Linked DNA regions of Sus scrofa. The protein of the gene in region 1 binds, or shares a complex with, the protein of each later gene. Links are inferred from orthologs where the notes say so. Each region holds a gene or a part of one and is shown in the gene's direction. Other genes may lie near its edges. The genes, in order: OGT, WDR5, THAP1, THAP3, ZNF831, KANSL2 and PHF20.

Region 1 (4,136 bases):
GTTGGTGCACATTTTCTAGGAGAGTTTGTGTAGTGAACTTTGCCTTTTTCACAGCATCTGACTTTCAATTATGGATGTGATGGAAGAAATGATCAATACTACAAATTTCCTCGGTGCTCATATCTATAATTAACAGTTTGTGAACTGTCTTGAAGGAATTGAAGCAAAATTTGAGGATTTTTTTTTTTTTTAGTGTGGTCAGATGGCTAGGTAGTAGAAATGTTTTGAAGAAATTCACTGACTTGTTTTCTTAGATCAAGGACTTTTTTTTTAAATTAATAAAAGAGGCTCTGAGAGATGCAACTTGTTGCCTCCATTGGTTTATAATAATTTCTTGTGAATGTGGCAAGCTACCTTAAATCCTTTCTGGAACAAGAGATATAAATTAATACCAATGTGACAAAATGTCTAAACAGTGGACTTGAAACTGCAGGAGGATCATATAGAACTGATTTGTTCAAGGAAGTAGAGGCAATTTAGTTTCAATCTGCATGTGTGGTTTAGGTAGATGGCAAATGAATCCATTTATCATTGTTGAGCTGCCTTGAGCTAAATGCTATCACCGTTTGTAACGATTTGCAAAGCTATGTGGTGGAAATGAAATCACAATTCAGAAGAGAGTCGTGGATTTTGATGAATATGAATCATCTTTAACATTTTTATGGCTGCTGCTTTGGAGTGCAAACTCTCAGCGAGTCCCTGAGTTATGAAGCATTTGCCCTACGGAATTCTCTGGGTAGAACTATCCTGAATACCAAAAGGTTTTGGAAATTTCGGGCTATATGGCCAAAACGTGAGATTCTTGGGTTCATTTGGCCCTGTGAAACTTTTTCATCAAAGTGTTTAAATCAATGGCTGGAATCAGAACTAAGACGTATTCAAATTGAAACCCTCTCTGCCACCGTTTTAAACGTCAGCCTTGGAAATCTAGCCATTTAAATTTACTTAGAATTGATTCAACAGCCTTGTAACTCTTCCTTTCCGTACGACTAAAGTTGATGAAACTTTTCTAGACGCCTTTGGCATCTCTTAAAAATCTACATTCCTGGCTCGGTAATAGACTAGACTTCCCCACTTCGGCAAAAATGTATCCGTCCTGTGTATACGTTTCTTTTTACCCTTCCGCTCCGCTAGTAGAAAACTTGGACGCTCCCGCCCCAGACAGTGCCCTAACCGGGTCGGGTTGACAGGGTTGCTCGCATGCGCTCTCGACACAATCGTGTTTGTCGCAATGGGCCCTGCGCGGAAGGTTACATAGGAGCAAGTGACTTTGATTATAGTCATTTTGTTGGTTGCGCTGGTTACCGCGCTACTTCCGCGCTGGTACTTGATTGTAACAGAAAGTAGTTCCGGCCCGTGTTGTTTCGGCCGAGGAGCCGTCGCCGCCATTTCAAGACCGTGAGAGGTAGATGGCCAACCAGAGTTCTTAAGGTTCGAAGCCTGTAACTGTTGCCGCCTCTTAAGCCTGCCAAAGCACTGGTACGGCTGCTGCCCTCTTACTACTACCTCTAGAAACATTCTTGCCAGTAGTGGCGGCAGCGGGACTCAATTACCCTTTTCTCGCTTTTCCTAAAGAAGCTCCAGATGGCGTCTTCCGTGGGCAACGTGGCCGACAGCACAGGTACCGGTGTCCCTTCTACCTTGGCAGACGCCCCCTTGGGGTCTCGCGCCGTCCTCTGCCTCTCATCACTCCCTTCCTTCCCTCTAGCCATCCCCATTACATCAGTGGCATCGCTGAGCTTTTCGTCGTCTGCCGGCATCTGATCGGGGTTTCCGCTGTCGTCCGTTCTTCAAACATTTCCTCTTGCTTGCTGGCTTTTCGCTTCCTTTCTTGCTTTGTAATCCTATACATTTGCTAGCCTTCTACTCTCTCGGGACGCTTCTTTTCACACGTGCGCGCTTAGAATGTCTCGGAATGGACTGCATTGGAATCCCTGTCCTTCTCGCTGCCTTTCACTCTCCTTGGCAGTCGTTTTCTCCCTTAATTCAGCTCACCGCCCCCTCCTCTTCCTCCTCCACCCTGCTCCCCTTAGCCCAATTTGGTGCTCCTCTGTCAATCGAGGGCGGGGGTGCCGGTCCGATGTAATCGTATCCTCACTTTGCATCACCCAAGGACGAGCCCAGGCTCCTGGGTGTGCTCCGAGTAATCTCGAGCCCAGGGGCTTTTGAGCAGTGCCCCGCCGGGCAGCGCCTTTCTGCCGGGCTTTCGGTTGAGCGAGCGGCCCCGGTTTCGATTGGAAATTTCCAGGGGTTCCTTTTGCCATCGTCCGATTCCACCCGCTGCCCCCAGCCTGGATTTCCCACCCTGTCCACCTCCCTCCCCTCCCGCGGGGAACCACACCCTTTCCTTCGCGAGGTTGCCAGCCTTGCGGTCCACTTCCTACCCTTGGGGAGAAACCACCCTGGTGCCGGGGCTTTGGCGTTGACCACCCTGCCCGCCCGATTCTCGCTTTGTGTTACTTTCTCCCTGTATTCCTCCGCCGCCGCCTCTGGGTCTTTCATCCCCATTCTTTAGCCCGGTATTTCTTTATTCATAGGGGGTGTATTTTTTTTAAGTTTTCATCCCCGCTTGAAGAGTTTGTAAAGCAACTGGAGTGTAGCTGCACAAGAGCAAGGCGGTTGCCCTTTCAGACAATTAGTCGAGAGCATTTGGTACTAAAAATAAGAAAACAACCAAATTACAGGAGTGTCCTTCGTCTGCCTTTCCATATTGAGGCTATTTGGAGCGGGGGGGGGGGGACCGGGCTGCGGTTCTAAGGTTTCCCACGAGGTTATTATTATTATTATTTTTTGGTTGGTTCCCTCAGTTGAGATGTGTCAGGGTTTTTTTTTTTAATTGTTTTTGGACATTGTGCAGTAAGAAGTGAATCTTCAATTGTGTCTCATCCATGATCGTAGGTAGTGGGATTAATAATTAGTGTTCCCCTCCCTCTCAGGGATTTTTAAAGATTTAAGATTCTGTCCTAGATTCTTCTGTACTAGCTTGCCCTTTTCTACGTGTTATTTTATTTGAGGAAGTTGTCATTTCCAGTGTTAAAATAGCAGATAAGCGGCTTTGAAAAATTGATAAAGTAATGTGTTAAAATAAGGAGCTCGGAAGTTCTAGAGGCTTGTCTAGTGATTTTTTAGTTTCTATTAGAGATATAACGTCCCCTAGATTTGGATGCAGGTCTCTCTTATGTTAGTGGTCAGCTGGCTGTGCATCCTCTTAGGGAATTTACTTAGCTTTCCTGAGAATACAGTTCACTCCTCAGCTCTAACGATTGGGGGGTCTAGGCTCAAATTTGAGCTTGTTACATAGACCTTGGTAGAATTTTATATAATTTGTACATGGTTTCCCACTCTATCTAGGGAAAGTGCTGTGGTCAGATTCCCAGTAATGTATCATTGTTTTAAGTATTTACAATTGAGTCTTAGGCAGCTTGTTGTTGTTTTCCCTCTCTGGGCTTTAGCTGTACACCCCTTATCTTTATGTATCTAAACCAAGTCACTTACACACAGCAAAGTGCTTTCATTTATTATTCATCCTGTCGCACTTTATCAAATGGTTTTATATTTTATCGTTTTCCCATTCTTTAAAAAAAAATCATTGCAGTTCTAAGTAACTGCTTGGTTTATACAAGGTTGTTTGCAATGTCTTAATCCTTTAGTCAGCACCAGAGCTTTTTGGAAAATGCTGGTGTTAAACCAGTGTGGGTGGGATTTAGCTAAATTGGTCTCAGTGTGAGTTGGGGGTGGTAGAGGAACAATATAACCTTGGGTCTTTATTTAAAATGTTTGATGACCCCTTTAATATTTTGGCTCTTGACAGATGAATCCATTTTGTTTATCAGCTGTTTTAAAAATAGCACCTTGACTTTTAGTTTTTTTTCCCCTTATGTTTGTTTCTAGTGTCGCCCTTAAAATAATTAAAAAATTAAGTTGTGAAGTAACAAAAAACAGTATAATTTTAAGAGTAAAACACGCATTTGCTGTCCCCACCCAGGTTAAGAGATAGATTGTTACCAGTACCCCATCCCCCACAAATCCAACCTAAAACAAGGGACAAAGTGTTAAGTTTCCCAGTAGGTTATTCTGACATTAACTCTATGTGACCTTGCAAATCACATGTTTTATACTTTGTTTCTGTATGTTAA
Region 2 (3,402 bases), on another chromosome or scaffold:
GGCGGGTTACCAGGGCCATCGCCCCAGGGCCAGGATCCCAGAAAGACACCCGCTCCAGTGCCCGCACGGAGCCTGCTGGGTGCAGGCTGCTGATGTAGGCACCCTGCTGGGATGGTGGGCATGGCGGCCTCCCGGTGCTGCCCGCTCTGCCCGGGCGCCCTGCTCCTAACACGCTTCGGGTGGGTGTCCCGGCCGTCCACTGCCCTCCTGGAGGCGGCTGGCGCTCGGCCTCCCCGGGCACTGTGGGAGCCCTCGGGTGGGCTCACAGGGTCGGCCCCCACAGGAGGAGGAAGGACTGTCCGCCGAGGTCTGTTCTGGACGTGTCCGCAATGGGGCTTCCTGAGCCCTTTTCTCGCAGGGACGTGGACCCCTTCCCGGCTCGGGGAACGCTTAGTAGCTTCCTTTAACCAAGCCTCTTGGGGAGTTAACGTGTGGCTCGACAGGTTAAGGACTTGGCACTGCAGTAGCTCAGGTTCGATCCCTGGCCCAGGAATTTGCACACGCCTCGGCCGAGGCCAAGTGAAAAACAGTGTCTTGGGGTTCCCGCGCTCTGCTCCCAGGTGTCCTTGCTCTGTGGACCCTGGGCTGGGCGCGGGCACCGGAGAGGGTGGGTCCTCGGGGGCTCGGCTGACACGCCCTCTCCCCGCAGCACGCTGAAGCTCTGGGACTACAGCAAAGGGAAGGTGAGCGCCGGGACGGGCTGGCGGAGGGTCGTGCTGGGGCTGGGGCCGGGGCCACGGCTGGGCCGGGGTGGGTTGTGCTCAGAGCGGCTCCGTTGGCTGAAAGGTACCTGGATGGGTTACCCCGGGGTGCAGGGGGGCGCCACTGAGCGGACGGGCCCTGCTGTTTCAGTGTCTGAAGACGTACACCGGCCACAAGAATGAGAAGTACTGCATATTCGCGAATTTCTCTGTCACTGGCGGGAAGGTGAGTCATGTCCCTGCTGGGGGTTCTCCCCGGCCCCTCTGGGGCGCTTTTTAACCCAGTGCAGCCCCGCTGGTGGCATCCTCAGCGGGCCTTCCCATTGCGTCCTCTTCAGGGCCACAGGCTCCTTTGCGATGCCGAGGGTGTCAGCACCTTCTGGGAGTCAGGGACCCTGGCAGGCTCTGGCGTCTGGTCCCCGGGGCTCCCCGCCTCTCAGGCTCAGGCTGCGGGGGAGATGGTGACGGCAGCCCTGATTGGAGCAAACAGTTTATGTCCTAGAAGTGGCGGGTGCTGGTGCGGCATCGGGACAGGAGATGGGCGGAGACCCACACGGGGAGGGGTGCTGGTACTGCTGGTCCCCAGGCACGCGCCTGACACCCTCCCGCCCCGTGACAGTGGATCGTGTCGGGCTCGGAGGACAACTTGGTTTACATCTGGAACCTGCAGACGAAAGAGATTGTGCAGAAGCTGCAGGGCCACACGGGTGAGCTCTCCCCCACGGAGGGACCAGGTCCTGTGAGCATCCTCCTGCCTCTGCTCCTCGGCCCCCTGGGAGCCGGGGGCTCTGTTTGGAGCTGTGGGTCTGAGCGCCCGCAGGCCGAGCCCGAGTGTGGCTTTAACCTCTCCTCCGGCCCTTGACGTCCTTGTGGGCCCTGTGGTCTGTCCCCGTGGAGATGGTACAGGGACCCGGGCTGCCTGCCGTCTGCTCTGCCGGCTGGCTCCTTTCCAGGCTCTGACCTCCTGCCCGCTCCTGTCCCCTGTGTGGAGTACCTGGGCAGCCCCTAAGCCCCCCCCCCCGCCCTCCCCACTCCTGCTCAGTGCAGAGTGGTGTCCAGCCGTGGAGAGTCTGATGAGAGTGTGCGACTCTGCCTAAGGAAGCCACGCCACTGCCTGAGGTCCTGGCCTGAGCTTGGAGGTCCGTGCTGGCCTTCAGCTTCCGCACCTGGCCTGTTGCTTCTGCCCTGCTGTGGGCAGGATGCTCAGGCTTATTTGAAACCACTCAGGCAAGAGGGAAGATTCTGGGGTTCAGTTGTCTTTTTAGGGCCGCACCTGCGGCATATGGCGTTCCCAGGGTAGGGGCTGAATCAGAGCTGCAGCTGCTGGCCTCCTCCACAGCCACAGCAATGCCAGGGATCAAACCTGCGCCCTCATGGATACCAGTCAAATTTCTTTCCGCTGAGCCATGATGGGAGCTCCCAAGGGGCTGAGTTAATTTCAGAGCTGCAAAGTGTTAACCTGACGGACCCCAGGCGCCAGCCCCGGGGGTGAACTTGCAGCGCAGCCCTGCGGGCGTCCTCTGCTCCGCGGCGGGGAGCGCGTGGGTGCGCCGGTTTGGGTCCCGGTGCAGAGGGCGCGATGTCGATGCCGTGAGACGGACCCCGGCTGTGCCTCTGGCTTGTGAGGGGCCCCAGTCTCTGGGCTCGGCGCTGGGCAGCCTCCGGGCCCAGGCCGGTGCTGAGCACCTCGCGGCCCACTGTCCAGGCCTGGTGACCTGAGCTCTGGGCTCGGACGCCCTGGGGCGGGGCAGGGCTGCGGGGCGGGGCCACGGGGCGGGGCCGCGGAGGGACCGTGGTGCCTCTGCTTTCAGACGTGGTCATCTCGACGGCCTGCCACCCCACAGAGAACATCATCGCCTCGGCCGCGCTGGAGAACGACAAGACCATCAAGCTCTGGAAGAGCGACTGCTAGGCCCGCGGGCGCGGGGCTGTCGGGACGCCCAGCCGGGCTGGCGAGAGCTCGGTGCTCGAGGGGCTCCCTGGTCCAGGCCTGGGGACTGGAGGCGCCTGGGCCTGCGCCGCCTCCGAGGACGGCTTGGCCGAGGGCCGTGTCCTCCGCAGAGGTTCTCGGAGCTGCCGGTGGCGATTCTTGCCAATGCCTGTCTTGTTGGCTGGGGAAGAGTTAGAGTCTGTATTGTGTTCGGAGGCCACAGAAATTTCTAATTTTTTATTACAAAAGGTGAAGTTCAATTTATCACGAGTTGTGTTTTTTTCCAGTAACTGTTCTGTGCATTTTATCACCCAGTGCAAGTGCTGGACCAGTCGCCACCACGGTGTGTGGGCGCCAGCCTCGCCCACCCGGCCTCAGAGGGGCCCCCTCGTGGGTCCAGTGACCTCTCTGGGGACCCCCACCCGGTGTTGGTCCTGCCCGCGCTCGAAAGCAGCGTGTCTGCAGCGTGTCTGCCCACGTGCCTTTGGCATCGGGGCCGTTGTCCCCGTGCTGCCAGCGTGGGGGTCACCCTGGGCGCTTCTGTTTGTCCCTCTGGTGGTCACACGCAGGCAGCGCCCCAGCGGTGATAAAGGTGGCAGCCTGGGCGAGTGGCCGCCGGGTTCTCACACAGAGCTTTGCTCGCTCTTTTGTGGAAAGCCTCGCGGTCGGCAGGAGGTTGAGAGGACGCCTCTCAAAAGACAGGTCCGAGGGATGCGCCACTCCTTGTCCACGCGGGCTCGAGGGCCCCTGCAGGCTGGTGGCCTGTGGATG
Region 3 (4,150 bases), on another chromosome or scaffold:
CTTTATCTTAATTTTTTTTTTCTCCTTTTAGGGCCTCACCCGCAGCATATGTAGGTTCCCAGGCTAGGGAACTAATCGGAGCTGTAGCTGCTAGCCACGGCCACAGCAATTGGGATCCGAGAAACACGTGAGGTAGACCACAGCAACCGGGTCTCAACCCATTGAAACCCGAGTCCTCACGGATACTAGTCGGGTTTGTTAACCACTGAGCCAGGAGGGAGGGGGAACTCCTTCCTCATTCCTTTTTTTTTCGTCTTTTTAGGGCCACTAATGGCCACACTCGAGGCATGCGGAGGTTCCCGGGCTAGGGGGTCTAATCGGGGCTAGAGCTTGCCCGCCCTGCACCACAGGTACAGCACCGCCATTTCCGAGCCGCGTATGCGAACTACACCACAGGTCACCGCAACTCCGGATCCTTAACCTGCTGAGCAGGACAGGGATCCAACCTGCAACCTCATGGTTCCTAGTCGGATTCGTTTCCACTTGCGCCACAGTGGGAACTCTGTGTCTTCCTCATTCTTGTTTCCACTACCAGCAAGCCCTGGTGTTTCTACCTGTTAGCATAGGCATCTACTCCTTGGTCCAAAGTTGCCAATCTCCTGTCTGCTTGCAACAGCCTCTTAATTGGTCTGCTCTTATTAATTGGTCTGCTCACTCACTGTTGCCCCTCCCTGATAAATTCTTGGCATAATAGCCAGAATGACCTTTTATTTTTTTATTTTTTAGTCTTTTGCTGTTGTTGTTGCTATTTCTTGGGCCGCTCCCGCGCATATGGAGGTTCCCAGGCTAGGGGTCGAATCGGAGCTGTAGCCACCGGCCTACGCCAGAGCCACTGCAACTCGGGATCCGAGCCGCGTCTGCAACCTACACCACAGCTCACGGCAACGCCGGATCGTTAACCCACTGAGTGGGGGCAGGGATCGAACCCGCAACCTCATGGTTCCTAGTCGGATTCGTTAACCACTGCGCCACGACGGGAACTCCCCAGAATGGCCTTTTAAAAACGTTTATTAGATCATGTCTCTCCCCGCCTAAAATGGCTCAGCGGCTTCACGCTGCAGTATGCCCCCACCCACTCACTGGGCTCTGCCATTGCAGGCCCCATTCAGTTCCTAGAAGACAGACCTTTTTACTGCCTCCAGGCCTTAGCACGCACTTCTTGTGGCAGAAACCCTCTCCCCCCGACCCGTTGTTTGGTTCTCAGATTTAACATTCCCTTCTCAGAGAGTAGGCAGTGACCCTCTCCTTACTACCCTCATCTCGGCATTCTAATGTATTCAGGCACCTGAGCACACTGTGATTTTATTTACATTTTTATTGTCTGTTTCCCCTTACTAGGACTTAAGCTACGAAGACTGGGCCTATGCTAGTCTTGCTCACCAATTAAAAAAAAAGAAATTATGAGCCATGAGATTACTCAACAGCCCGTTATCGACACAGACGAAAGGAGCCGGCCAAAAGGGCTGCAGCTGTTGGCGAGTCCCAACACGGCACCTGGAGATCATTAAGATAACTGCAGCATTAGTGAGAGAAGCCCCTAGAGACTGGGCTCGCGGTGTGTGCAGGTGCGGGCTTTCCTGGCTAAACTCTTCACCTGGGCTCCGCAAAGCCTCAGAATACCTGAAGCAGGTAAGAGAGGTTAGCGGGCCGGGAAGGGAGTCCACCAAGTTTTACACATCACGCCATCTGGGACCGCCCTTTTAGAGAAACAAGGCAATTATGCAACGACCTCAGCTTTACACCTGTCCTGCTTCAGGCCAGCAGACCCAATAGACGGTAGAGTGCCGCGAATCTGAACCGCCCAGCATAAGTAACCCCAAGCAGCACCGCCGGGGCGGAATCGGTCCTGCGCTCCCACCCCCCTCTCCCAGGTAATTACTCCTTCCTTCCGGAAGCTCGGAGGCCCCGCCCACTTCCGCAACGCTCAGTCCGCCGCGCGGCGGGACTCAGCCAATGGCCTGCTTCCCAAGAAACGTTACCTCTGACCTCAGGGCTAATCAAGAGACAGTAGGACTAACGCCTCGCGAGAGGTGAGGTTGAAGCTGTCTCCGCCATCTTGGAGACGGGAGACGGGCGATGGCTGTGGTCCTTCTGCTAATGCAAACAACAAAACGGACACATTAGTCGCTCCCGAGTGAGCCTCTCGTCATTGTAACTGTTGACCAAAGCTACGGAAGAAGAGAGGGTGTCAAAGTCGAGCGCGACGACATTGATAGCAGCCTCAACTGCCTGCTGGGGCGGCAGAAGTGAAGTAACCAGGACCGGAAGGATGGTGCAGTCCTGTTCCGCCTACGGCTGCAAGAACCGATATGACAAGGACAAGCCCGTTTCTTTCCACAAGTAAGTATCCTGAGCGCCTCCTGGGCCTCGCAGGGGCTGGGGGCGCGCGGCCCTGCTCGGGGGCGGGGCCAGGCGCGTGTCCGCGCGAGACCTAGTGGGAGGGGCGGGGCGCCGTCTGGCGCTGGGACGGGGAGCGGTGGGCGTGCCCCTGGCGTCACCCGCGGCGCTCCGCCCCGGGATGCGCGTTCTCGGTTGCGTCGCCGCGGAGGCTGTTCCTCGCGCTCCAGTTTCTAGCGGAGCTCAGGGTAGCTAGTTCGCGGCCCACCCACGAAGCCTAGAATTCCCGTGAGTCGTGGGGTGTCCAGACCGAGAGGCAGCTGGGTCTCACCACCAGGGTCGTAGAGAAGCCAGGTAGTAATGCCACTTTAGCCGTAAAGTTGAAGAGGAAACAGCCGGGAAGTCACGAACTTTGATCCCCTGCGGTGGGGGGAGTCCAGCATCACAGCATTTAGGCATTGACGTGGGCGGGATTTCAGGGAGGATGTTTTGGACTCTGCTCCTGAGGACTGCTGAGTTTTAGAGAGAGCTCCAGGCTGAGCACACTATGTTAACGGGCAGTAGTGGTACACTGTGCATGATAAAATCAGCCGGGCTGTCACGGACCTGGAAGAAGCCCTCGGAGGGGGACACGTTCCCAGTTCTAGGGCCGGTTTCACCTTAGAGGTCCTAGGAGGAAACAGGTCTCTCCAAAGAAAGCCGAAAAGTAGAGTGACAATGATAATCCGATGTCTGCACGATGGCATTTTCATTCAGCCAAATTCTATATTTACAGATGTTATCACATAAAAAGTGTTTTGCAATAATCTCAACCGTAAATGGATGATAGCTAAAGAAATAAAAGCCAGTGATAAATTATACGATTTATAGCGAAATAATTTCAAGAGCAAAATCTTAAGTATTCCTTCAGTTTGGAGGGTGGGGCCTTTTATGTTTAACAGGGAATGTGGATACATTTTTGTACATTTGGTGTAACACTAGAGAGCTGAGGGAGCATAGAGAAATCTTGAGAGTGTTGCTGTTTCCCTTCTAAGGGGAGAAACACAACACTTCCAGATTCATTTGAGGGGGTGATATCTTAATATTACTCTTGATTTATTAGAATTTCTGAAAGCTGATGGATTGGCCTCCAGTACTTTCAAAGTCAAGGGAGTAGGTCTGGAGGTGGTGACACCATCGCAGGCTGTTCAGCTACCCACCTTCCAATTTTTTTTTTTTTTCCTTCGTCTTTTTAAGGACTGTTCCAGCTGCACATGGAAGTTCCCAGGCTAGGGGTGGAATTGGAGCTGCAGCTGCTGGCCTACGCCACAGCCACAGCAATGCCAGATTCAAGCCACATCTGTGACCTACACCACAGCTCATGGCAACGCCAGATCCTTAACCCACTGAGCGAGGCCAGGGATCGAACCCGCACTTCATGGTTCCTGGTCAGATTTGTTTCGGCTGCACCACAACGGGAATTCTAGTTATAGGATTTTAAAGCAAGTACATTTTTTAATTTAATCACTGCACCAGTACTGGGAGAATATGGAAGTTTCTGGGCCAGGGATTGAATCCGAGCTGTGGCTGTGATCTACACCGCAGCTGTGCAATGCTGGATCGATAACCCACTGTACCACAGCAGGAACTCCAAAACAAGTCCATTTTTAACAAACTAAGGTAATAAAGGCACAACTAAAAACTGTCCCCCAAAAATGAGCAAAGTTAGCATTTTCATCAAATACTCATTGGTGTGTTAACACCAGTATAAGCTAGTTCCTTCCAAAGCAGGAAAGTCTGGATGTGCCCTTTTTTGGAATAAGGTTAGAAAACT
Region 4 (3,513 bases), on another chromosome or scaffold:
GTGGCCCCGCCGCGCCCCGCAGGCCCCGCCGCCGCCATCTTTGTTGGGGGCAGCAGGGCCGGGCGTCTGGAGATGCCGAAGTCGTGCGCTGCCCGGCAGTGTTGCAACCGCTACAGCAGTCGCAGGAAGCAGCTCACCTTCCACCGGTGAGGGGCGGGGACTCCGGGGGACTCCGGGACTCGCCTCGCCCGGGCCGCCCGGCCGCGGCCCCCGCCGGAGCCCCAGGCCTGGAGCGCCGGGGCCCTGCCGGGCCACCAGGGAGGCCCGAGGGCGTGCGGCCGAGCCCTTCGCGCAGCGGTGGCGGCCCCGGGACCAGGAGGTCCCGGGCCAGGAAGTCTGGCACCGCCTCGGCCGCCGGGGCGCGCGGGGAGGCGGTCTGAGAGGCTGGGGCACCTGCCCAAGGGCGCGCCGCCTCCCGCCGGTCGGGGGAGCCCGGGGCTGGGGGTGCCGCCCCGCCCAGCGCCCCCGCAGTTGGGCGTGCGTCCCCTCCGCGGCCCGGCGGTTTTCTCTCATTCTCAGATGCAGCCCGGAACGTGGTAGGGGTGCAGTGTTGGCTGCATGAATGAGAGATGCCGATGTCTCTCAGGTGTGCGGTGCGCGGGGCGCTCGCCTCTCCTGGCCTCTGGTCGGGAGGGAAGGGTAGGGTGGAGGAAGGAGCACTTTCCGGGGGGTGGGGGCGCGGGGCCGGGACGCGCGGCCTTTCCCGGACCCCGGGAGGATGGCGGGGCTTTGGAGTCTGTCCCTTTGCGGGTGCCAGGCCCGCCGCGGGAACGCGGCCCCCCCCCCCCCGATCAGGTGCTGCACGCCTTCTTCAAGGTTCCAGCCCCGGCCCCTTCCCCTGCCCCGTTCAGAGCGGGAGTCCACGGGGCTGCCGCGCTCCTCGTCTCCTCTTTCCTCCTGTTAGCGTTTGCTGTTTCAAGGCGAGGATATAACACGCATACAGAAAAGTGCACCGGCCCTAAGCACGTAGCGCAACCGGCTTAACAAAGTGAGCCCCCTGCGGCTGCCCTGAGCTGGGCTTCGCAGCCCCACCCCCTCCAGCCCTTCGCTCTCCCGCCCCCTCAGGGGTGAGGCTCTGCTGCCTGTGTCCCAGGGGCCTGCTTTGGCCTGCTGGGAACCTCACCGGAGTGGAATACCAGGCTGCACTTTCTCTTGCTCAGGGTTGTACTTGAGGGTCACCCGCAGCGGCTCGTCCTTTTCATTGCTGCGCGGTGTTCCTGGAGTGTATTTTCCAGGGTTAACTGTCCTGCAGCTGAAGGGCCTTTGGTCCCTGTGATTTTTTGGCCATTATGAGCACATGGCTCTGGGCACTTTTGCTGGGACTTGTCTCCCAGCTCTTGTGTGTGTGGGTGTCAGGTGTGTCCCTGGGGGTGGCGTTGCCTGGGGTCTCTCTCCCATTCCTGTCACTCTTGTCCCCACCCCTCCCACAAAAGCGCTCTAAGTCCCCCGTGGCCCTTATGGTGCTCAGTGCAGTGGTCCATCTTCATCTGAATGGACCTCTGCAGCCTCTGACGTGACTGACCGCTGACTGCTTGAGATCCTCTCCCTTTGGCTTCTAGGACACCTCTCAGCTGCTTTGTTTGTCACAGGGTCCCTTCTCAGTCTGGCTGGATTGTCCTCATTTCAGCACTTGATGGAGCGCTTCAGGGCCAGAGCTTGCCTCTGGTTCGTCCCTGTCCCTACTCGCTTCCTAGGGCACCCATCTCACCTGGACTTACTGCTCTGCCACCCTCTACCCGGGGACTGCCACAGCGATACCCCCAGGCACGCATGCTACCTTATCACTCACCTTCAGCACTTGGATATCTAAAAGTCACCTTGGGGAGTTCCCTTGTGGCTTAGTGGGTTAAGGACCCAGCATTGTCACTGCAGTGGCTCAGGTCACTGCTGTGCTACAGGGTTTTTTTTTTTTTTTTTTTGTCTTTTTTACCATTTCTTGGGCCGCTCCCGCGGCATATGGAAGTTCCCAGGCTAGGGGTCTAATCGGAGCTGTAGCTGCCAGCCTACGCCAGAGCCACAGCAACGCAGGATTCGAGCCGCATCTGCGACCTACACCACAACTCACGGCAACGCCGGAACGTTAACCCACTGAGCAAGGGCAGGGATCGAACCTGCAATCTCATGGTTCCTAGTTGGCTTTGTTAACCACTGCACCACGGAGGGAACTCCTCACCTTAGGTTTAATATCTAAAATATAAAACCAAGCTTCTAACCCCCCCAAAGCTCCCCTCCGCCTAATCTTAGTAAGTGAAATTCCTTCCTTCTCTGTTTCACGGCCCACGGGCAAACCTTATTACATGACTTTGAAAATAGATCCCAGGTCTGCCTGCTCCTGCTGATGCCCTGATCCCAGCCACCAGGTGCCTGGGTGGCTGCAGCAGCCAGGGTGGACTCAGTCTGTCACCCTCTGCCAGAGCCTCCGGGAACCCCCTTCTGCTCCAGGCCCAAGTCCTCGAGTCCTCCTCTTGCTCTGTCTCAGCCACACCTGCCCCTGACTGCTCCTCACACACGCAGGCGCGTCTCATACCCGCACAGCTCGCTGTCCCAGTTCTTGCAGCTCTCCCTGCTCCCGTGTCACCTCTCAGGTGGTCGTCCCTGACCACTTACAGCAGCACAGTCTGTGTTTGCTGTATTGCCTGTCCCCCTGTTCTAGAAAGTAGCGTCATGGCCACGCCCCCAGGGAACGGACGGCCAGGCAAATGCGGCTCCAGAACATGGCTCTTTGGCCACGTTCATGGTCTCAGGCTTCCTGCTACAGATGCTGTACCTGCCGTTACAGAAGCTTCCTGAATGGATGGGGTTTAGAGGATGGGGCTACCCCATTTCCCAGGCTGTGGTGCTGCCTTCAGCCTCTCGAACCCCTGTCACGTCTTCGCTGTGCCCCAGGTTCCCGTTCAGCCGCCCAGAGCTGCTAAAGGAATGGGTGCTGAACATCGGCCGAGGCGACTTCGAGCCCAAGCAGCACACGGTCATCTGCTCGGAGCACTTCCGCCCCGAGTGCTTCAGCGCCTTTGGGAACCGCAAGAACCTGAAGCACAACGCGGTGCCCACGGAGTTCACCTTCCAGGGGCCCCCGCAGGTGCGCCCGGTGGGGGGTGGGCGTGCGGGTCCGGGGCGGGGACAGCAGCCCGGGAAGTCCTGTCAGTCCTTGAGGGAATCCACAGCTTAAAGCTGCTTTCTTTATTTCTGGTTCATTTTGTGTATCTTTTTGATTGGTTGGTTGGGTTTTGGCTGTATCTGTGGATGTGGAAGTGCCCGGGCCAGTGATGGAACCCGTGCCACAGCAGTGACGTGAACCACAGCAGTGACAATACTGGATCCTGAACCCTGTTGAGCCACCAGGGAACACCAACGCTGCTTTAAAAATAAACCACAGTCTATCAACTATACTTTAACATGACCTAAAAAAAAGAATGGGGAGTTCCTGTCGTGGTGCAGTGGTTAACGAATCCGACTAGGAACCATGTGGGTTCGGTCCCTGCCCTTGCTCAGTGGGTTAACGATCTGGCGTTG
Region 5 (4,298 bases), on another chromosome or scaffold:
GAGAACCTTTTCAGATGAGGTGGCTAAGGCTCACAGAGCTGGGCCAAGACTCCACTGGTGGTGAGCTGTAGTGCTGGGGTCTGCGGACTCTGATGAGCCAGAGTGGCCCCCAAATCTAGCAGAGCGCACCCCCAACCCAGCCCAACCTCCTGCGTGCCCTTCCATCATGGCTCTTTCTTTTCTTTTTCTTTCTTTCTTTTTTTTAATCCATTTTGAGTTTATGAGAGAGATGTTGGAGAAATAGATTTGTTTTCATTTTTTTTTTAAATTACTCAATGAATTTTATTACATTTATAGTTGTACAAAGGCCCTTTCTGACACGGATGCCTCTCTCAGAGTTCACATGTTTCATGCTTCCATTCCTCTGCCTGCTGTCTCATGCTGTCCAGGATCAGACCTGTCACCTGATCTGTACAGTGCCCAGTGGAGGTCTGGACAGGGCAACAGAGGACTCTTGCACCAGCCTGGGTCAGCACCCAGCCACAGGCTGCTCCCCTCCGTGGGCTGCAGAGGTGACCAGGGACCCCCTTGGGGTGGAAGAGAAGGTGCACTGACAACCCCCCCTCCCCTCCACCCCGGGGCCCTGAGGGATCATCTGCTTCCCTCATGTTCCCTGTCCAGCCAGAACCACAGTCTCAAGTTCACTGCTAACCACCTGGGGCTCCTGAGTTAATAACAAGTCCAGTGTAGCCTAAGATGGCGACCTTTGACCTACCTGGCTCCCAGTATCTCTCTTTGCCTGTCCCCTCCTGCTCTCTGCCTGAAAATGTAGATGTGGGTCAGGCCACCGCTGGGGGTGGGGGGGGGTGGGGGAGGGAAAGGAGGCAGGTATGAATGTGTGTGGGTGATGTCACTGGTGCGCAGAGAGGATTCTTTCACCTAAAATCTACACATTTTGGAAATGTTGGATTAAACAAAGTTTAGTAGGATCCTCTTTTGCAGAACTTCTCAGAGCCTTCGCCTGAACACTGAACTATCCCAGAGCAATACAGGATGCAACAGTTCCCAAAGAAATTTGACCAGAGGACTTTTTTCCCCTCCCTTTTTATGGAGTATCTCACGCAACCATTCGGAAAGAATGCCTTGGGAAGTCTCGTCAGGTATGAGAGTGTGCTTCACCCCTCTTCGCTGGCCAGGTCTAAGGTAGCTTCGAAACTAGGAAGGATAAGAGATGGCCAGGTGTGGACACCCAGGTCCTCCTTGGGCGTAATGGCGCTCTGGCTGGAATTTGGGCAAGACCCCGGGGAAGAGAAAAATCCTTCTCAAATGTCTGGGGATCCCCCACGCCGAGGGGGTTGATGTCCAGGACCTGACCCACCTGTCCGTGCTCGTGGCCGTGGGGCTGGGTGGCATGGCTGGAAGAGATGGGGCTGGGGGAGCGCCAAGCAGGCGATGCCCACCCTCACCCACCTCCTCCGAAACCCAAGTGGGGGGTGGAAGGGAGAGAGCGCAGAGAGAGAGAGAGAGAGAGGCAAACAAGTTTCCATTCGTACCGGATGGTTTTGTTTTTTTATCTGTTTGCAAATGTTCAATGTAATGGTTTGAAACCCAGCCGTGTAGCTGCCGCCGCCCACACACAGAGCTGCAGCACACGGAGCTCCAGCAGGCAAACCATCTCCCGGGCGTCGGCCATTCAACCCGAACCCACACCAGGGCAGGCTGCACACTCCCCCCGTGTCCCTTCACCGCCCCACACCGCCTGGGCACCCCCGACACCCCCCACCCTCCACTCACACAATTAAAACAAATGCCAGCCCTCGGTTTCCTCTAGAGAAGCATAGAGAGCAGCAAAGGCAGAGATGGGACGTGCAGGGAGAGAGCTCCTGCCTCGTCGGAGCCACCGGTTTGCAGGAGAGCGCGGCAGCCCCCACCTGCCTGTGGACTGACCACGTCAAGGTGAGAGCGGTCTTTGTGATGTCTTTGTGCTCCTGGAGGTCTGGGAGGCAAGGCCAGATGAAGGGACCTGAATCATTGAGCCTTGTCTGTCGCCTCCCGAGTGATTATCTCAGGCAAGCATGATGGATGCTTCCTCCCCAGCACACGCCCTGGTTTCTGACACAAGCCCCCACTTAGGGCCCCGCGCGAGCTCTGGAAGCAGGGGGCTTCCCGTGCCCCCTCCTCCACCGCTCCGCACAGCCTTCCTCCCGAGCCTGCCATGCAGACGGAGGTCTGACCCTGCCTTGGGCTTGACCTGTTGATTTCCAACTGGGGCCGCTGACCTTCCTCCCTCGAGCGAGCGCTGACCCCGCACCGCGTCCTTGGGGACCCTATGGAACGCGTCTCCGTCCAAGGGGCTTTGGGAAACCTGCTTCCCCAGTGGCCCCAAGCCCGGTAATCAGAAGCAGTCCGACCCAGCTGTCCAGCTAATCTGTATGAAATAGGCTTCCTTCCCAGGAGAAATCAACAAAGTTTAAAATAGAAGGGGCTGGAACGGCCCCGAAGCCGTGGAGCTGTGTGTGTGATGCAACGGCAGAGACGCCCGCACGGGCAGGACTGAGGCCAGACTGCGTGGCTCGCCACCATGTGAGCCAGGAAAAGAAACGCTCCCCCGGCCCATGAAGCCTGCCCGTGGTCGGAGGGGAGCCGAGCCGGGCCGCCGCCGCCGCCGCCGCCGCTGCCGCCGGCAGGTTCAAGGCGCTGGCTGGGCGGGAGGAGAGGATCAAAGATGGAGGCCGAGGGCGAGGCCGGGAAGCGGCGCGCGGGGAGCAGAGAGGCCGGTGAAGGAGCTCCGAGTTCTGTGCAGTCAGGGGATGAATCAGATGGCACAGGTCTATTTTTAGTTGCCAAGATCTGCTGTTACATTTTGCCTGGCATTAATTAATGTCATAGGCGTGTTTCATCCACAGGTTCTGAAGGGCCTCAGCCTGTCCTTCAAACCAGGAGGTGTTGACCTTCACGTGCGGGGCTCGCGGGCCTCAGGGTCTGGTCTCCAACACAAACGTGTGTCCAGAATGTTCTGCTCTCTGACCTGGCCCTCTCCGGGTGTATCCGTTAATCTCCTGGCTCCAGCCCTTGGCTGGCTGGCCACTGGCCAAGGGAGAGCTGCCATTGTTGCGCTTTGTTTTCCAAAAAGGAAAGGCTGTGCAAAGCTGAAATTGGGAAAAAAGAGGTTGGATCAGGGTTTGGGGGCCCACTCTACCACCACGAACAAGAACAAGAACGGGGCTGCTGACTCCCCGAGTGGGGGATGTTGACAAAGCATATTTCCGAAACAGGTTTGGACAAAGTGCGATAGTCTAGCAGGAACTAGTTACGGGGCTGGGGTTGATCAGATGTCGGCTGGAATCGTGTCTGGGGTTCATTACCCCGATCACGCCTGTTCATCCTTCACGGCCCGGGCTGTGCATCGGAAGAGCGGTGTAAACGCAGGAGATGTTATGAGCACGGTGCCGCGGTCTCCCAGGCAATAGCAGGGTAACAGCCAGCTGGGGCGCCAAGCGGGAGTGAGGAACGGAAGGCCACGCGGCAGCTGAGCGGTGGGATGGCTGCTTCTGGACATTGGCGACAGTTATTAGGTCGGAGAGAAAGTGTGATGACATCACGGCCCCTAACTGGAAGGACACCCCTCATACTCCCTTAAGTTAATCAGAATATCCGCCCCCCCACCCCGATCCTGTAGTCAGACCCAGCCACTGACAACTTGGCTTCCAGAGCCATGTGTTGAGACCTATGTGTGGTCCTTGTCAAGTTCATTCATGGTGGGTCCGTCCAACGCAGGAGCATGGACAACCCATTGAGTCCCCAGGACACGTGGCTGGCCTCTCTGCTGACCAGAGAGACACAGAGGCGGTCTCTGATGACCCCTGGCCAAGCCACTCTTCAGGTCCTCTGGAAGCATTGCCATCTTTGGATTTCCCAAGTTCTCAGGGAAGAAGGTCAGGCCCCCGAGAGTGTGTAAGCCAGCGGGGCCCTGACCTTGGGCGTTTTGCCAAGAGGTTGGGGTCGATCCTTCTTCCCTGACCGCCGACTCAGGGGTCCCGGGCCCACCCATCTCTGCTGCGTGTGTCTGGGCGAGTGCCGCCCTCGACCACACCACACTCCCTGAGCATGGCTGGTCACAGCCTCTTGCGGGGCCTCTTCAGCAGCCAGCGTTGGGTGGATCTGGGTGGCAAACAGCTGTTTTCGGCCAGAAGAGGTGATGGATGAGCCAGTGGGTGGGCTCTCTGTTGGGAACGAGAATCTCTGGCCCCTTCCAGGTCAGTGTGTCTGAGACCCCACCAGGGGCTGCCACTAGAAAATCAAGAGAAAGCTTCCCCTGGTGCCAAGAACCTGGCGTCCCTTTGCTGCTTTGTAATTTC
Region 6 (4,275 bases), on another chromosome or scaffold:
GTTGGGAGGGTTAGCATATGTATATAACTCATAGTTGCTATTTAATGGTTGTATTGCATCCGTAATCCCAAACTACTCTAGAATGTTTACTCCAAAAGAGCAGGATTATCTTTCTTGTTCTCTCTATATCTGTACTGGCTGGCACTTAGGTGCTCAGTAAATATTTGCTGAATGAACAAATCTCATGCAAGGGCCTTCTAGGACTGCCCTAATCCCTGGGAAAAGTCACCTCTAAGCCCTCCCCTATTTTGGTTTTAATCACTTCTTTTTATCTAAACTGCTGTTCCCCAGCATTGTAGATTCCCTATGCTCACCTGCTCATTGGTAGTGGAAAAATAGCTTACTTAAATGAAACTGACAACAGCTAGGAGAGCTTGTGAAGCTTGGGATGCAAAAAAGATCCCAAATTGTTTTATTTCTGCCAGAGGTGTGGTGGAGATGAAAGAAGAGATGCTTTAATTAAAAAGCCTTAAAGGACGATAAAATTGGAATTGTGCCTGCCTTTTCTATATACCTGCATGATTTAGCTTGGTATTGTACAGAATTTTAGAGAATCAAGGCCTCAACCATAACTCATATTTACCAAGTCTCAGTCCAATGCCTTTCACTGTATGACCAGGAATAAAGGGATAAAGAATGAGGGAATGGTTCGTGGAGTTCCTGCTATAGAGCAGTGGGTTAGTGATCTGGCTTGTCTCTGTTGCAGGTGCCTGTGATTCCAGCCTGGCACAGTGGGTTAAGGATTCAGCGTTGCTACAGCTGTGATGTAGGTAGACGCTCTGGTTCAGATTTGATTCCCTGGCCAACCAACTTCCATATACCACGGGTGCGGCAGAAATAGTATTAAAAAAAAAAAAAATAAAGGAATGAGGGCTGGTTCAAATTTGTCTCCATTCCCTGTTTACTAGATACGAGCCTATTCTGTTCCTCTGTTATCTTATCTGTAAAATGGAGATTATAGCTTCTACTTTTTAGGACTGTTCTGAAAAGAAATGTTTATATACATAATTTTCCAGACTCAGTAAATACTCAAAAAATGTTTCCGTAAATTAACTTTTCACAAAACTAAGCCTTTTACTGTATAAACAGTAAGAGTCAAATGTACCACGATCCTTTGGCCTCCCTGTCGATTTTGTGCCTACCGTGTAACGGTGGTGGTGTAGCTGCGGCCTAGTGCACAGATAAAGCGGCCATAATCGACCTGAAAATCAGCCATGCGGGGAGGTGGAAAGACAAACCGTGCGCTGCTAGCGGGTCCCCGAGCCCGCACTCAGCTCCGCCTCACTTTCATGAGCAAGTTGATGACGGACAGCTCTTCTCAGCCACCCAAGCCGCGCCTTTTCTTAGCGCCCCGCCCCCTAAGACTTGATAGGTAGCTGGCCTCAGCCAATGGTGACGCACAGGCGTAGGCGTCGTGCCCAATCAGCGAGTGGGAGCCGGGAAAGGAATGGGGCCGCGTTAGAAGCGGCTGGCGCGGCCAGAAGGCAGCAGCGCGGCGCGCGGCGGAGGTAAGATGGCGGCGTTGCTTGCTCTTCGCCTTTGCCTTCGGGGTACTACTTCGCCCTTTCTCCCCATTCAGAGCTGCTACCCTGCTCCCTCAATCAACGTCAGGGTCGCTCTCCTCTTATAATCTCCCAGGACTTGGGTTCTCCGGTGCTCGGAGACTTAGGACAAAATGGCGCTTGCAGGCGCCGCCAAGGATGGGCAGGGCCCAGGCGTGAGGTCTCAGGCGGACCGGGACAAAGGCGGCGAGCCGGGAGGCGGAGACGGGGGTGGGGGCGCGGGCGCGGCCCCTCGTGCGGCGGTGGCGCGGCCCCTCGTGCGGGCGGTGGCGCGGCCCCCTCGTGCGGCGGCCGTACAGTCTCCGTGGTGGTGGTCGGCGTGGGGCGGCCTTGGCGGGGGAAGTTGAGGTGAGGCAAATTCACTAATGCCCGGGGAGGCTTGGGCTGGGAGACCTGGGCGGAGGGAGTTAAGGAGCGTGACTTCCGCTTGTCTTTTAGAAGCCACGCGCCGTCTGCCTGGTTACTGTGGGGCAGGAATTTTCGGGAAGGGCTTTTTGATCTTTTGTGTGACCCTGCAGGTTTTGGTATGAACAGGATTCGGATCCACGTCTTGCCGACCAATCGGGGAAGGATCACCCCAGTGCCCAGGTCTCAGGAGCCCTTGTCTTGTTCGTTTACTCATCGCCCATGCTCGCAGCCTCGTCTGGAGGGGCAGGAGTTTTGCATTAAGCATATCCTTGAAGACAAGAATGCACCTTTCAAGCAGTGCAGTTATATATCCACAAAGAATGGAAAAAGATGTCCTTGTGCTGCTCCGAAGCCTGAGAAGAAAGACGGGTATATATGTATAGATATCTGTACTTTTATGTTTTTCATTGTGGGTTTTTGTTTTTGTTTTTTGGGGGCATGTCCATGACATGTGGAAGTTCTTGGCCCGGGGATGGAACCAGCATCACAGCAGCGACCCCAGCTGCTGTGGTGACAACGCGGGATCCTTAACCTGCAGCCTGCCACAAAAGTACAGGGAACTTCTGTTCTTTTAGATTTTAAGTGATGTGGGCTGGGAAATAGCTGGCCAGTTCTTTGGTCACATGCTTGTAACATTGAGGTTATGGATATATCCTTGGAGAACTTTTTAAAATGGTGAAAACTGGAAGGAGACCACTCTCAGTTGGGCCACTTCGTTAAATGTCTTTGGATCTTTTCTGGTACCTGTAAAATAAAGGGACACTCTAGATTTTTCTTTTTTTCTTTTTCCTTTTTGGGCCGCACTTGAGGCATATGGAAGTTCCTAGACTAGAGGTCCACAGCCATGCCATATCTCTGCAACCTACACCTCAGCTCACAGCAATGCTGGATCCTTAATCCACTGTGCGGGGCCAGGGATTAGCACACTTCCTCATAGATACTAGTTGGGTTTGTTACCGGAGCCACAAGGGGAACTCCCTCTGGGTTATTCTTAACCTTAGGTTGCATGGCTCTTTTGGCCATGCACGTTTTATGTGTGTGTATTCTTCTTGGAAAGACTTAATGGTTTTCATCAATTAAGCAAAAGTATCCATGCAGAACATAGATAATTCTGTCTGTATCTTTTGATTTTAAAATTGTGTCTCATATCCTTTTACCTACAGTGGATTGATACTGAAGTAAAATGTAGAGTTGCCTTCCAGAACCAGGCTTTTTTTTTTTTTTTTTTTTTTCTCCCCCTTGTCTTTTTAGGACTGCGCCCATGGTATATGGAGGTTCCCAGGCTAGGGGTCTAATGGAGCTACAGCTGCCGGCCTATACCACAACCACAGCAACTCAGGATCCGAGCCTTGTCTTGACCTACACCACAGCTCGTGGCAACACCAGATCCTTAACCCACTGAGCAAGGCCAGGGATCAAACCTGAAACCTCCAGTTCCTGGTTGGATTAGTTTCTGCTGCGCCACGATGGGAGCTCCCAGAACCAGTTTGAAAGATGGAAGTGGATCTCTGATGATGTTGTGAAATGTCAGCGTTTTTATAGTTGGAATGTTTTGTTTAATGGGTAGAGCACTAGGTTTTGTTACCTGCATTTCCCTTTAGTAATACCAAATGAGTTGGTCTTGGGCCAGTTAATTTATTTTGCCTCATTGACATTTTTAATTTATAAATGAAGACAATGGTCATTTTAGTTTCCTGAAAATAATCTAATGATCAGTGTCTCTAAAAATCACTGAACTCCTTCAGGAAGGAACCTGAGTATAAACGTGAATATTTTATCTCCTTAGGGTGTCCTTCTGTGCTGAACATGCCCGTAGGAATGCTCTAGCACTTCATGCTCAAATGAAGAAGACGAATCCAGGGCCTGTGGGTGAAACACTCTTGTGCCAGCTGAGCTCATATGCTAAGACAGAGCTGGGGTCTCAGACTCCAGAAAGTAGCCGAAGTGAAGCCAGCCGAATTTTGGGTAAGAAACTTCTTTAGGGTGAGAAAATAGGAAGAAAGTTAACAAAAAATATAATTTGGTTTAGCACAGTGCCTTGAACATATTTGGCACTTGATAAAAATAGTATTATTGTTAATTCATTTGCCCTTTGGTGAGAATTCAGGAATGCCGTGTTGTTCACTAATCTTTCTGGTTTTAAGTAGTATCTGCTTAGGTTTACTTTCTTGAGTTTATGACTGCTTCCTTCATTGCTGTTTTTACACTTAACATCTTTGTTAGGTAAGGTAATTCAGGAAACAATCATTTTGAGTTGGCCTTTCTGTTTTGAGAGCATAGTTAATTCATTAATGTTTTAGGTATT
Region 7 (3,513 bases), on another chromosome or scaffold:
TTGCTTGAAATAAGTTCATTGACACAGTGGAGCCTTGAGCTCTCTAGATTGTGCAGACCTTATTGGAACAGGATATGAGCTATTTAGGGAAGGTTGTTTGTGTTTAATTTGGAATGTGTGTGATCTCCAAGTTCCCACCCTTGGAACAAAATAATGTTGGCACATTGGGACGATTGAATGCAGGAAGAGCCAAGGAGTTTAGCTTTCTCATCAGGTTTGCCTCCTCAGAGCTCAGCCCTGCCTTCTTTGGCCGTTTGACATGGCAGATCTGAAGCTACTGGTCTCGGAGCCTTCTCTTTCCTCTTTCCCACCCACTTGCTTCCTTTCCTCCCTCTTCTTTCTCCTTGCTGCTTCTTTCTGTCTCTTCAACCTTCATCAGACCCCCTAGCCCTACCTTTCCCTCATGCTTCCCAATTTCTTTTGTTTTATTTCTTAGCCTTTTGGATTTTCATCTTTCCCAAAGGGAGAGAGCTGCTTTCTTTCTTTCTTTCTTTTTTTTTTTTTTTGGCCACCCCTGTGGCAGGTGGAAGTTCCCAAGCCAGGAACTGAACCTAGGCCACAGCAGGGAACCACTTCATTGCAGTGACAATGCTGGATCCTTAACCTGCTGAGCCACGTGGAACCTCCATGGAGGGGGAGAGCTTCTTAAGTGTTAGGTTTAAAAATAAGGAGTGAGCACTGTATAAAGGTTTAGCTTCTGAACTGCTAAATTATATCAGGGCTGGATTTGCTGGTGATAAGCACCCTTGCCAGGAACACTGACTAACAAATAGCATAGACTCCTGAGTTTTTTTCTGGAGTTGTTTTCAAAAGGTCCTCAAAACGAGGACCAATGCCAAGCTAACCAATTTAGAAGTAGAGGTTGAAAATAATAATCAAGCCATAGTCCCAGGGTACACCTTTTAAGAATTAGCCAGCATGATGGATTTCCTGAGTACTGGATAAGCTATATTTTGGTGAGAAGATTTGATGGTGATAAAAAATGGCTTTTCTGTTGCCCTTCCATCCTCGTATATTTAAAAAAAATTTATTCTTTTCTTTTTGGCTCTGCCTGTGGCATGCAGAAATTCCCAGGCCAGGGATCAAATTCCCAGGCCAGGCCTTCACTGCAGCTGTGACCCAAGGCTGCGGCAATGCTATATTCTTAACCTGCTGAGCCACAAGGGAACTTCCTCTATTCTCATCTTTTATTTTATTTTTAATTAATTTATTTTTTGGTCTGTGCTTGCATCATTTGGAAGCTCCTGGGCCAGGGGTTGAACTTTTGCCACAAAGGAACTCCACCTTCATATTTTAAAGCAGTCATGGGATATTTAAAGAGAGGGTTTCAGGAGATAAGTATTATGACTAGAGCTGGGTCATATGAGAGACCAAAAAAATTCAGGAGGTCGGTCTGTAGGTATCAGCATCTCCTATAAGAAAAAAATTTCTTGGAGTTCCCGTCAAGGCTCAGTGGTTAACAAATCCGACTAGGAACCATGAGGTTGTGGGTTCAATCCCTGGCCTCTCTCAGTGGGTTAAGGATCTGTTGCCATGAGCTGTGATGTAGGTTGCAGATGTGGCTTGGATCCGGCATTGCTGTGGTTCTGGTATAGGCCAGCGGCCACGGCTCCAATTAGACCCCTAGCCTGGGAACCTCCAGATGCGGAGGGTATGGCCCTAGAAAAGACAAAAAGACAAAAAAAAAAAAAAATTCTCATCTTTTTTTCTTTTTAGCTTAAGTAAAAATACCCTTTGAGAGCTTATTTATCAAACAAGGATGTGTGTGTGTGTATATATATATATATGTATGTTTTATTTATATATAATGTGAAGATTGGTCACTAAGAAATTACATACCTTTTTTTGTATGGTTTTATATACATTGTAGCTGTGGATTCAAACAGTCAAACTTTGCAACCAATAACGTTGGAACTGAGAAGACGGAAAATATCAAAAGGAAGTGAAGTCCCCATAAAACGTCCTCGGCTTGACAAAAATTCATGTGAGTTCTCAGTTTGTGTCTGTGTGATTAGAATTTGACAGTCATTGTGTTAGTTCCCCTATATCCAGGATGTCACTCATTCCTTATAGGCTCTGATGCTTGTTGTCCTTGATCACAGGAACAGATGTGAGTGGGATGTGGTTGGATCAGAGGAGTTTTGTTCAAGGAAAAATAAATCCCAGAGCACAAGCTGTATCAATGTTGGGTTCAGGGATGTAATCTCCATACCCATAAACTACATTTGATTTGCATTCTACTAGAAATTTAATGTTTTAGGAAGGGATGGATATCATATGCCAAGTGAAACTTTAAAAATACAATTTAGGGAGTTCCCTTCGTGGCTCAGCGGTTAACGAACCTGACTAGGATCCATGAGGATGCGGGTTTGATCTCTGGCCTCACTCAGTGGGTTAAGGATCCAGTGTTGCCGTGAGCTGTAGTGTAGGTCACAGACATGGCTGGCTTGGTTCTGGCGTGGCTGTGGATGTGGTGTAGGCCAGCAGCTGTAGCTCTTATTCAACCCCTAGCCCAGGAACTTCCATATGCTGTGGGTGCGGCCCTGAAAAGCAAAAAACAAAAAATGATTTATTGATTTTTTTAAAAAAAAATACCCTTTTGGCTTCAAAAAAGATTTGTGATGGCTCTAAGGCTCTGTAAATCTTAGTAACTTGGGAAATTCATCATAGACTTTTATGTTGGAAAGCCCCAAAACAGAATTTGTCAAGATGGGGATGTGACCTTGGCACGTATTTTCAGATCATGAATCCATTAAGTTAGGAAAATTATATCCTGGCAGAAAGACTGGGCCTTTTCACTTTACTTAAAATTATAAAGCAGGATAGGGTATTTCCTTTCATCACAGATCTGATATTCTAAAGTCCCTCTGTAAAGCCTTTATAGAGGCACCTGGTCCAGAAATCTGTAGTAGCAGAGTTATTTCTTCGGGTTTCTTGACTACAACTCTCTTAATGGTTTATAGCCCAGGAAAAGTCAAAAAACTACTCGGAAAACACTGACAAAGACTTATCAAGGAGACGGTCCTCCAGGCTGTCCACTAATGGGACCCATGAGATCCTAGACCCTGACTTGGTTGTATCAGATTTGGTTGATACGATTAATACCGATACTTTGCAAAACACATCAACCGGTACCAAGGAATCTGAAAAAGGTGAGTCAGAGTCTATTCTGGATTGGTCTTGCCAACCTGATGCCTCTCTGTTGCGAACCAATCTAAACCAAGCATTGCAGTAGCTTCATACAAGTTTTAGATGGTCTTGAAATCAAGTTAATGAATTGGCTGCCTTCTTTCTTTCTTTCTTTTTTCTTTTTTTTGTGTTTTTGCTTTTTTCTAGGGCCGCTCCCGTGGCGTATGATGGTTCCCAGGCTAGGGGTCCCATTGGAGCTGGGGCTGCCGGCCTACGCCAGAGTCACAGCAATACAGGATCCGACCCGCATCTGCGACCTACACCACAGCTCATGGTAACGCCGGATCCTTAACCCACTGAGCAAGGCCAGGGATCGAACCCTCA

Evidence for each region.
Region 2: OGT (region 1) and WDR5 share a complex: the UniProt entries of both Homo sapiens proteins name them as parts of the NSL complex. The link is inferred for Sus scrofa from reciprocal best matches to the Homo sapiens genes OGT and WDR5.
Region 3: OGT (region 1) and THAP1 share a complex: the UniProt entries of both Homo sapiens proteins name them as parts of the THAP1/THAP3-HCFC1-OGT complex. The link is inferred for Sus scrofa from reciprocal best matches to the Homo sapiens genes OGT and THAP1.
Region 4: OGT (region 1) and THAP3 share a complex: the UniProt entries of both Homo sapiens proteins name them as parts of the THAP1/THAP3-HCFC1-OGT complex. The link is inferred for Sus scrofa from reciprocal best matches to the Homo sapiens genes OGT and THAP3.
Region 5: the proteins of OGT (region 1) and ZNF831 are in contact, whole or in part, in a crystal structure (PDB 8FUF), measured with the Homo sapiens proteins. The link is inferred for Sus scrofa from reciprocal best matches to the Homo sapiens genes OGT and ZNF831. Residues at the interface, in NP_858058.1 of Homo sapiens: Phe723, Ile734, Met779, Ile787, Ile790, Asn791, Arg792, Gly793, Leu808, Ala809, Thr831, Arg832, Ser833, Gln834, Tyr835, Gly836, Leu837, Pro838, Glu839, Arg877; in NP_001371283.1 of Homo sapiens: Phe937, Ser938, Pro939, Lys940, Tyr941, Leu942, Leu943, Arg944, Leu945, Pro946.
Region 6: OGT (region 1) and KANSL2 share a complex: the UniProt entries of both Homo sapiens proteins name them as parts of the NSL complex. The link is inferred for Sus scrofa from reciprocal best matches to the Homo sapiens genes OGT and KANSL2.
Region 7: OGT (region 1) and PHF20 share a complex: the UniProt entries of both Homo sapiens proteins name them as parts of the NSL complex. The link is inferred for Sus scrofa from reciprocal best matches to the Homo sapiens genes OGT and PHF20.

The regions. Positions count from the first base shown.
Region 1 is NC_010461.5:57,519,768-57,523,903, forward strand, and holds the start of OGT (UDP-N-acetylglucosamine--peptide N-acetylglucosaminyltransferase 110 kDa subunit), read left to right. Parts: upstream 1-1,330; 5' UTR 1,331-1,479; exon of another isoform or gene 1,480-1,575; 5' UTR 1,576-1,584; coding exon 1,585-1,621; intron 1,622-4,136. UniProt on the Homo sapiens protein: Catalyzes the transfer of a single N-acetylglucosamine from UDP-GlcNAc to a serine or threonine residue in cytoplasmic and nuclear proteins resulting in their modification with a beta-linked N-acetylglucosamine (O-GlcNAc).
Region 2 is NC_010443.5:273,573,655-273,577,056, forward strand, and holds the end of WDR5 (WD repeat-containing protein 5), read left to right. Parts: exon of another isoform or gene 1-649; coding exon 650-683; intron 684-852; coding exon 853-927; exon of another isoform or gene 928-1,320; coding exon 1,321-1,408; intron 1,409-2,512; coding exon 2,513-2,613; 3' UTR 2,614-2,901; downstream 2,902-3,402.
Region 3 is NC_010459.5:11,770,510-11,774,659, reverse strand, and holds the start of THAP1 (THAP domain-containing protein 1), read left to right. Parts: upstream 1-1,338; 5' UTR 1,339-2,269; coding exon 2,270-2,340; intron 2,341-4,150. UniProt on the Homo sapiens protein: DNA-binding transcription regulator that regulates endothelial cell proliferation and G1/S cell-cycle progression.
Region 4 is NC_010448.4:67,455,272-67,458,784, forward strand, and holds part of THAP3 (THAP domain-containing protein 3), read left to right. Parts: exon of another isoform or gene 1-72; coding exon of another isoform or gene 73-146; intron 147-162; exon of another isoform or gene 163-569; coding exon of another isoform or gene 570-586; intron 587-2,886; coding exon 2,887-3,079; intron 3,080-3,513. UniProt on the Homo sapiens protein: Component of a THAP1/THAP3-HCFC1-OGT complex that is required for the regulation of the transcriptional activity of RRM1.
Region 5 is NC_010459.5:59,275,750-59,280,047, forward strand, and holds the start of ZNF831 (zinc finger protein 831), read left to right. Parts: upstream 1-1,492; 5' UTR 1,493-1,896; intron 1,897-4,298.
Region 6 is NC_010447.5:79,302,756-79,307,030, reverse strand, and holds the start of KANSL2 (KAT8 regulatory NSL complex subunit 2), read left to right. Parts: upstream 1-1,462; 5' UTR 1,463-1,508; intron 1,509-1,885; exon of another isoform or gene 1,886-1,910; intron 1,911-2,080; 5' UTR 2,081-2,088; coding exon 2,089-2,339; intron 2,340-3,756; coding exon 3,757-3,935; intron 3,936-4,275. UniProt on the Homo sapiens protein: Non-catalytic component of the NSL histone acetyltransferase complex, a multiprotein complex that mediates histone H4 acetylation at 'Lys-5'- and 'Lys-8' (H4K5ac and H4K8ac) at transcription start sites and promotes transcription initiation.
Region 7 is NC_010459.5:39,165,816-39,169,328, forward strand, and holds part of PHF20 (PHD finger protein 20), read left to right. Parts: intron 1-1,870; coding exon 1,871-1,984; intron 1,985-2,963; coding exon 2,964-3,152; intron 3,153-3,513. UniProt on the Homo sapiens protein: Methyllysine-binding protein, component of the MOF histone acetyltransferase protein complex.